Xenopus tropicalis: one gene and its partner. The protein of the gene in region 1 purifies or fractionates together with the protein of each later gene. This does not show direct contact. Links are inferred from orthologs where the notes say so. Each region holds a gene or a part of one and is shown on either strand. Other genes may lie near its edges.

Region 1 (3,826 bases):
GCAGCATTATGTATGTTACAAGTGTTACCTTACATCAGTACCGTCACAGGGCCAGAACATTAAAGGCCAGATAATCAAAGGTTGGCCGTTTCCTCTAGTCAAGCAATATTCTATTTTAGAACAACGTGAGTGAGATTGGGAAAAAAGGTGGGGAGAAGAGAGCGAGACACACACACATGCATAGGTGCAGATTCATTTTGTGACCTTGACATACTGTCCTGCAAAGTCAGTCACTTCCTTGGTGAAACAGCCAGATGCATCAACTGGGCACACAGGAACTGAATCCTTCTGGATGATATTGAAATCCATACAGACTCTGTAATCATCCTAAAAAGAGAAATTAGTATTATTTAAGTCATACTAGCAGTCAAAGCCTGTATAATGCAATACAAAGAAAGGCAGGGTTGCGTTGTTTTTACAAATGAATGATATAAGCAGGGTAAAACTGCTAAAAGCATATAAACTGATGGACAACATGCACATTTTCAGATATCTTTTGTGTGGACCCAGACTACTAAAAAAAAAAAGCCACATACCTATACCATTTACCAGTGCTGTCCATTTTATTATATGTAGTGGGGACATTATTTCTCATATAGCATGTTCAAGTGCTGGATTAAATTAAAAAAAATCACACAGTGAAGTCCATGGAGCCTCTGAGTAGACATGGGCCATAAAAATCCTCTGGAGTGCACACCCAGCCCACTGCCTCCAGTTGGACAGCAGTCCTGTATACCATAGTTATACCTATGGAAACCTATTAATGACCATTTACATTAGGCCTCTCTCAGGCTATGGAAGGTACGGAAAAGGGGTTTGTCCAGCTGGCATAATAGCTTAGAAAAGGATAAAACAGCTATATGGGCCAGCTATAATGGACAGGTCATTGCATTTATCCTCATTAAAGGTTTGGGCCATTGGTTTTAATTTGTCATGACTTTTGGAGACAACCCATTCAGAACTGCAAGCAAATCATGCAAAAAATAAATCAATTTAAAAAAAAAAAAAAATTTTCTTAAATCCTGCCAGGTTGCAACTGTCGGTTGAGTTGTTCTTGAGAAAGTCTCATATTTCTTCATCAAACTGTCCCCTTCCTAAGTCCATATCCTTTTTTCATAACACGTAGTAGGTGAATCATTAAACGAAATGAGGAAAACAAAAGAACTTTTTGTTTGATAAATTGCGGTAATAGGGAAACACTGCTTGCAGCATGGGGGCATATTCACCTCAGCTCATCAGAGGGGAACTCCCCAGTTTTTTTCACTTGTGCAGGATTTTAGGGGCATGTTTACCAAAGAGCGATTTTTTACTTTATTCCCCGTAAACCATAATTAGCTGTATTTTTACTGATTATCATGCCCCTACTGGTATAACAATCAGGCTTTTGTTGTGGAAGTACAGTATTAGGTCACAGCATTACATCTGCAGAACAGGGTTTCTGGAGACAGCACACTGGACATCGAACTGTACAAAAGAGCAGTTAGTCGAGGAAACCCTCAAAGCAATCTCTTACTTGGTTTACATAGAAAAGAGAAGTGTGAGAAAACAATATCATATTCTTTTACTCTTAGGAGTCTGTGATCCTATAACATATGCCCGCTGACGTCAAAAATAAATCACGGGAATTGAAGCCACCAGCAAACACATGATATCTTACTGCCACCTAGTGGCTATCGGTGGTATAATGCACCTTAATTAGAAAAAAAATGTTACTCACAGCTCCAAAGTAAGGTGCCTGGTGCACCACTCCTGTGCCTTCTTCAGACTTCACATAGTTATCAGTCACAACTGTAAATGCTCCTCTTTCTGATGCCTGTAAAAACATAGGAGTAAACATGAAATTTGAGATAACAACAGTACTGTGGAAGTAAAACAAAGCATATTTAAATAATCCTATTGTGGCTGTATAAAGCATATATAACCTATTTAATGGTAAGAGTTCATGTTCATGTCCATGTATTTCCCCTATAAATATGTGTAAACGAATGATGGCCCACTTAGTCTTTTTGCATAGAAATGGTTGCTGCTATATTACTTGACTAATCTGAAGAGAACCCGAGAATCCACTAACAACCACAGAAGCATCACCAACTTCCTGCTACTGGCATAGAGCCCTGTCAGCCTTGTCTTCCGCCTAGCAGTATTTATTTGAACAAATACAAAAGACACTTTGTGCTCAGTGTGCACTGCCTGGTGTAGAGAAAGCAATGATAGAAGGTAAACCCTGTGTATGAATATAATATGTGGTGATAAACACACATGTAGAACACATATATAACAAGAGATGTACCTTCTCAAAGTAGGGAAACAGTGGTTTGTATTTTTTTCCTTTGAGGTTATTGCCAGGAAATCTGTCCAGAGAAAAAAAACAAGTAAATAAACTAAATATAGATCTATGCCTTCAGAAAAGTTCTCTGGAAAGAACAAAAACTGCAACCTATACCTAAATAGAAGAAGCTATGTATCCAAGCTTACATTATCTTCCATGTAGTTTACTCATCAGATCAGTCCCACTATATTTTGACCCATGCAACTATGCCTAACTTGTAATCTGCAATCAGTTGATCCAACACCATCCTCCAAAATCTCCCATGTAGTTAAGCTCTTTTTTCTACCACTGTTATAAAATATATTTAAAGATACACTTATTCAATCAATAATGTAAAGATATTTATTTAATAACCAAAAAAGATTATTAATTATGCAAATTGTACTACTCTAAAGTTGATATAACATAAAACAATACATTTCTCTGTGTGTGTGTACACACACATACAAGATTGCCTGAAAATGTTACATATTAAGTTGGTAATTATTTATCACAAAACCCTGCAGTTTATGATTATTATCAGTAGTAGTAGTAGTAGTAGTAGTAGTAGTAGTTGTACCTTTCCAAAATGTCATATTCATTTTCAGCTTTGTACAGAGCAGACAGCCTGGCTTCCATCAGTATATACACATTTCCATTGGATTTATCTAGGAGACAAACAAAACTCATAAGTAGAACTGTAAGGCCTCCAAAAACAACTCACTGCTGCCATCATAGTCAATAGAACTGTGCTTTGGCTAACATAAAGGGGCGAAATTACAGGAGTGGACTCACTCCAAATAAGGATCTACAGGTACTGCTGCTTAAAGACTCACCTTTCAACTTAACATAGATCAGCTCTGGGTTAACACACAGGGCCAAGTTGCTGGGCAGGGTCCAGGGAGTTGTTGTCCATGCCACTAAAGATACACCTGAATCATCAAGCAATGGAAAGGTGACAATGACAGAGGGATCCTGGACATCCTGAAATAAATTAACAACGGAAAAGATGTAATTTAGGACACTGGAGACCAATAGTTGTATGTGTGCTGAGATTTAGTGCTTTGATATCCTTCTATGTTATTTGTCTAAGTCATAGGTGCAGATTTAGCAAAGTGTGAAATAATATAACAATAAAATGCAATCACTCTCTATTCGTTTCTATGGGATTTGTAAAGACCTATTTATTAATGGGTAAAAGCGAGAATTGACTTTGATAAATATGTCTCTAAAAACCCCACAGAAATGAACAGAGAAGGGTAGAATTTTACTATGGTGAGCTCTAAATTGACACTATGATAAATCTGTTCCTTACTGTAAGAGTTAATATTAAATCCTGTTACCTTGTAGTTCTGGTGGGACTCAAAGTTGGAGAGAGGAGTGTTGCAGGCAGTAGAGAATGGCATGACCTTAACACCTCGATACACTAGTCCTTTGTCATAAAGCTGTTTAAACACCCACCTAAAGTCCCAAACAAAGAACAAAAATATATAAAGGACAAGCAAGCTACTCCATGTA
Region 2 (4,532 bases), on another chromosome or scaffold:
CAATTCAGAATAATGAACGCTATATTTAAAGCAAGTGCAATCTACCTGTTCTGAGCCTGCAAATCAGAAGCATTGACTTCAAATAGTTTCTGAGCATCCCATTTTTCCTGTATGTCTTTTTCAATCTTCTTGAGGAAATCAACTTTAGCTGTTCCTTTTCGCTCCTTTAACAGAAATTATAAGTATTAGAGGACAGTTATGCCACACACTAAATATGCATGACTATGTAGTATAAGCCCTAATAAAACGTGATGCAAACCTATAATTTAATAGTAAACAAAAGCCCGCGTTCCAGTGTGCCTTACTGCCATAATGCCCAAGAAAGATTTAATATTCAGTCTTACAAAATACTTACAAATTATCCTGCCTATCTACAATGGTGATGCACACTTCACAGAAGAAATGTTTCAGCTGGCTAAAAAGAGGTAACTCCTGTATTGCTAAGAACATTTGCCAGGTTATAGCCTTTTTACTATAAAACAATTTTAGCCACACGCAGTGTGCCAGAGTGTAATCTGGTAGAATTAACAGCAATTGCCCCAGCCAAAAAACCTGCAGTTAGATATATTGCTCTGGTGCTGTCCAATAGGAGAAAGCAAATATTCCCTATGTTACTAAGAAACACCTAGTCGTTATTGTGGCCCCTCAACAAGTATCCTGGGACACAGGGCCTTACAAAATGTAAAATATTGCTCCTCCATAGTTTTATGTTCTGTTACAGGTTTCCTGCTTATGCTGAACTTAACACAAACCGCTATTTTTATTGCTATGATAAATACTGCTCTTTAACCTTAAAACAGAGATCCCCAACCAGTGGCTCAGGGGCAACATGTTGCTCACCAACCCCTTGGATGTTGCTCTCGGTGCCCCCAAACCAGGTAGTTATTTTTTAATTCCTGACTTGGTGGCAAGTTTTTGTTGAATGAAAACAAGATTTACTACCAAATAAAGCCCCCTGTAAGCTGATAGTGTGCATAGAGGCTGCCTAATAGCCAATCTTAGCCCTTATTTGGCACCTCCATGAACTTTTATGGTGCTTGTGTTGCTCTCCAAGTCTTTTTACATTTGACTGTGGCTCATGAGTAAGAAAGGTTAGAGACCCCTGCATTAAAAGAAAAAAAAATAATAAAAGCACAAAGCCTCCAAACAGATCTTAGAACATTTCTATATGTTCTCCTTTTGAGTGTGATCAGCAAGCTATCTTTGGGTCAACTGATCTAGTGTAGCTAGTTTGAGTTCACTGTCTCAGACTACTGTTTCTATTAATACTCCTCCTCACTTTAATGAAAGCCACACAATGTTATATTGGGGTTGGACACAGAAATTTTGTTTTAAGAATTTATGTTCCCATATTCCATATAACAATCTTGTAAACAATGTGCTCCTGTTTCCTGGACACAAGGCAGGGTGGAACAGAGTACGTTTCTTGAAAAGATGCAAGTTTTAAGCTGGCCATACACGTGGCGATCTGACGATGTTTCGAAACATCGCCAGATCCGCCACACACAGTCAAGGCTGAAACAGCAGATAAGGAGGTAGAAACAATAGGATTTCTACCTCCTTCTGCCGATTCAGCCCTGACGGCAGATTTTGGTCAGGCGCCTTCTATGGCGCCCGATTGGCGAGTCGTCCGATATCAGCAGCTTCCTGCGATATCGGTCGACTCGCCGACATGCCATACACGCACCGAATATCGTACGAAACGAGGTTTCTTACGATAGTATCGGTGCGTGTATGGCCAGCTTTAGGGAGATAAAGTCTCCCTTGGTCAAGAAGCAGGCACATAAACCACACTAACTGGGCTGTATATTCATATAGGACAATTGCCCTATATTAAAATGAGGAGGACACCTTAAATGAACTTTAAGTTGTAGGTGCAAGCACATCTGACCTGGGTTGTTTTATTTATTGTTATTACTCTTATACTCTGCCTCTAGTAAAGTTTGGATTTAAAATACTTCCTAGTTATCAGTGACTCTAGAATTAATGAATCTCATTGACTAAATGATTATATTATTAACATCCCTAGCAAACAGCAACAAAAAAGTGAAAAAGCTAAATAATAAAAGAAGCAGCTATATCCCCACTGCCCAGGGATACAGCTGCCTGCATAATAATAATGAACTGGCACCATACAGAGCAAACGGATCCATCAGGGTGACAATTGTAAATCTAAGTGCAGTGTTTATATTTATTATAGATTCAGTCTTGAACTACAACTTTCAGAAGCCCATGCTGAGCATCCAATAACAAGTGAAAGCGGCCAGACACTCATTTATTAAAATAAGTTATTAAAATTTGTTTCTTTTTAAGATAAATGACACATTTGCAGACTGTGAGACTGTGTTTCTTGGACATGCCATTGTGAAAAGGGATCTTCCACAGAATATATTTTTTTTTTTTAGCACAATGTTGGAAAATGTTTTCAAAGAAACTTTCCTATGTATATTTGTACCGTATATGTGTATTTGAAGAAAATGTTAACTGGATTTGAAGTTATTTTTAAATGTAAATGCTACTAAAGGCAGGATCTGTACGACTGTTTATATATTTTGCACTGCTGGGTCTGACTTCTGAAACAATGTAGCAGATGTCAGATGCTTAACAGATCTGGAGGACTCCTATTACACTACTTTAAGGTTCAGTCAGCTGCTAGGAAAAAAGTGATCAGCAAATGCTGCTTTCCCTGGCAATCACACTTTCAAATAAGTAGAAACCCACTGAAAAGGTGCAAATAATGTATATTGGAAAGTTGGTTATAATTTTTCATTATGCCAAAAATAGTTTTTGGGGTGAACTTCCCCTTTAAAACTTCTCTCATTGCATTTATAGAGAAATTCTGGTTGCAAGTTAACAGCTGCACTGGGGATGCCCAATGAACACAGTGTAAGACGTGCTAATGTAGTCTACCGCCCCTTTCCAAACGAGACCGCTGCCATGCATTTAAGTGGCCACTATATCCCGACCAAAGACAAGGCGAACTAAAGGCATAACCATAGCACACTGACCGTCATGGTGAGTCTCTCCCAGCAGCCTCAGGCCCAAGCACAGCTACACACTGTCTCAGCTCCTTGACACACGTTGCCGGCTCCTAGATGGAAGCTTCCTGTTACGGGCGCAAGGCACGCTGGTCATTGTAGTTTTGCTTTCCATTTAGACTTCGTATAATGTTCCATCTTGAACGGCATTTCCCATAGTTCCCATACAGTGAGACGTCCACAACCATGTGGAAATTGCATCATCCGTAGCTTGACAGCCAGAGGTAGGGGTTCCTGGCTTAATATCAAAAATAGTTTTTGCGTTGGTGCTGCTTTATCAAATTTATGGGGAGTAGAAGGTGGATGAAATTTGAATACAGAAGTTAAAATGCTTTTAGGCTAAACCTGTAGAACGACGTTTTGTTTCTTCTTTAGGTGGCGCTCTAGTGTTAGTAACATGCTAAAGTTCCCTTTCCCTTCTAATCAGCTGTTAATTGTGGAGGAGTGTGATATTACACCTTTTTTCATGGGGACCTATCCCAAGAAAGTATTCATTAATTAGAGATTAAAGAGTTTATTGCAACTATAAGCAGTATTTGTTTTTCTCTTTTTGTTTTCTGGGTCTGGCTCTTATAAAAATGTAGGAGTGTGGTTTTTTTTCTAGGCCTGTTATGTGGCTTGTAACATTGTTTAAAGAGTCAGAGTCCAGAGTTTATTTAATATTGCATTTGATAATAATAAATAAATAACATTTACAATTATCTTGAAACCCCCTGATAATGTTTAATGAATGTATGTTGAACAGTTGGTTATCACTTTATTTCACTGTGGATGAAGCTCCCCTTTGAATTTCTATATATCTAAATATATATATATATATCTAAATATATATATAGAATGCAGAGTGGGGAGCACACCAAAATCTTAGGTACAATACCTGGGTGCCAGAGCAGCAAAATTAAATAGTCGAAAAAGTGTCGGCATTCACAGGATTCTCACGAAAATATTCACAGGCAGTACATCATGGTTGAATGCAAATAAAGTGAGGTTTATTGGTCCGGCTCAAAAATAGAAAAAAGGCAGGCACTCCGGTCAAATCATTAGTGGATAGCAATTGTTCATGAGAAGTGGAGGTAAAATCAAAAAAACTTTTTATTTAACACATGATACAAAGAGCCTTACGCGTTTCGTACCTCCTGGTACTTAATCATAGGCTGAATGAGAATTGATACATACAACGTATTTAAAACAACTTGAGCCAATGGTTATTCAAACTTAATTAGCTGATGTAGACTTAATTGACCAATCAAAAACCTGAAAGGTCAGTTGGTAATCAGACATGAATTTACAAATCAGTCTGAGGAAAAGGTACATGTGTTCAAACAAGGAAAGTTTTTTATAACAAACAGATCGTTAAGTTAATATATATAAGAGTAATAGTAGATGTAGAAAGAAGGGGCAATCTTTTTAATAGTAAATAAAATTTGCACTAGGCAATATTATGTATAAATATCAGTATAAAAATCAGTATAAAAAGTATAAATATAGGTCCAG

The links.
Region 2: the proteins of iars1 (region 1) and lars1 purify together in Homo sapiens (affinity purification with mass spectrometry; 7 studies listed by BioGRID and IntAct, counting the BioPlex papers as one, with this or other methods). This does not show direct contact. The link is inferred for Xenopus tropicalis from reciprocal best matches to the Homo sapiens genes IARS1 and LARS1.

What each region holds. Positions count from the first base shown.
Region 1 is NC_030680.2:124,224,832-124,228,657, reverse strand, and holds part of iars1 (isoleucine--tRNA ligase, cytoplasmic), read right to left. Parts: intron 3,770-3,826; coding exon 3,652-3,769; intron 3,293-3,651; coding exon 3,145-3,292; intron 2,977-3,144; coding exon 2,889-2,976; intron 2,352-2,888; coding exon 2,291-2,351; intron 1,814-2,290; coding exon 1,718-1,813; intron 328-1,717; coding exon 205-327; intron 1-204. UniProt on the Homo sapiens protein: Catalyzes the specific attachment of an amino acid to its cognate tRNA in a 2 step reaction: the amino acid (AA) is first activated by ATP to form AA-AMP and then transferred to the acceptor end of the tRNA.
Region 2 is NC_030679.2:39,733,109-39,737,640, forward strand, and holds the start of lars1 (leucine--tRNA ligase, cytoplasmic), read right to left. Parts: upstream 3,029-4,532; 5' UTR 3,015-3,028; coding exon 3,009-3,014; intron 165-3,008; coding exon 46-164; intron 1-45. UniProt on the Homo sapiens protein: Aminoacyl-tRNA synthetase that catalyzes the specific attachment of leucine to its cognate tRNA (tRNA(Leu)).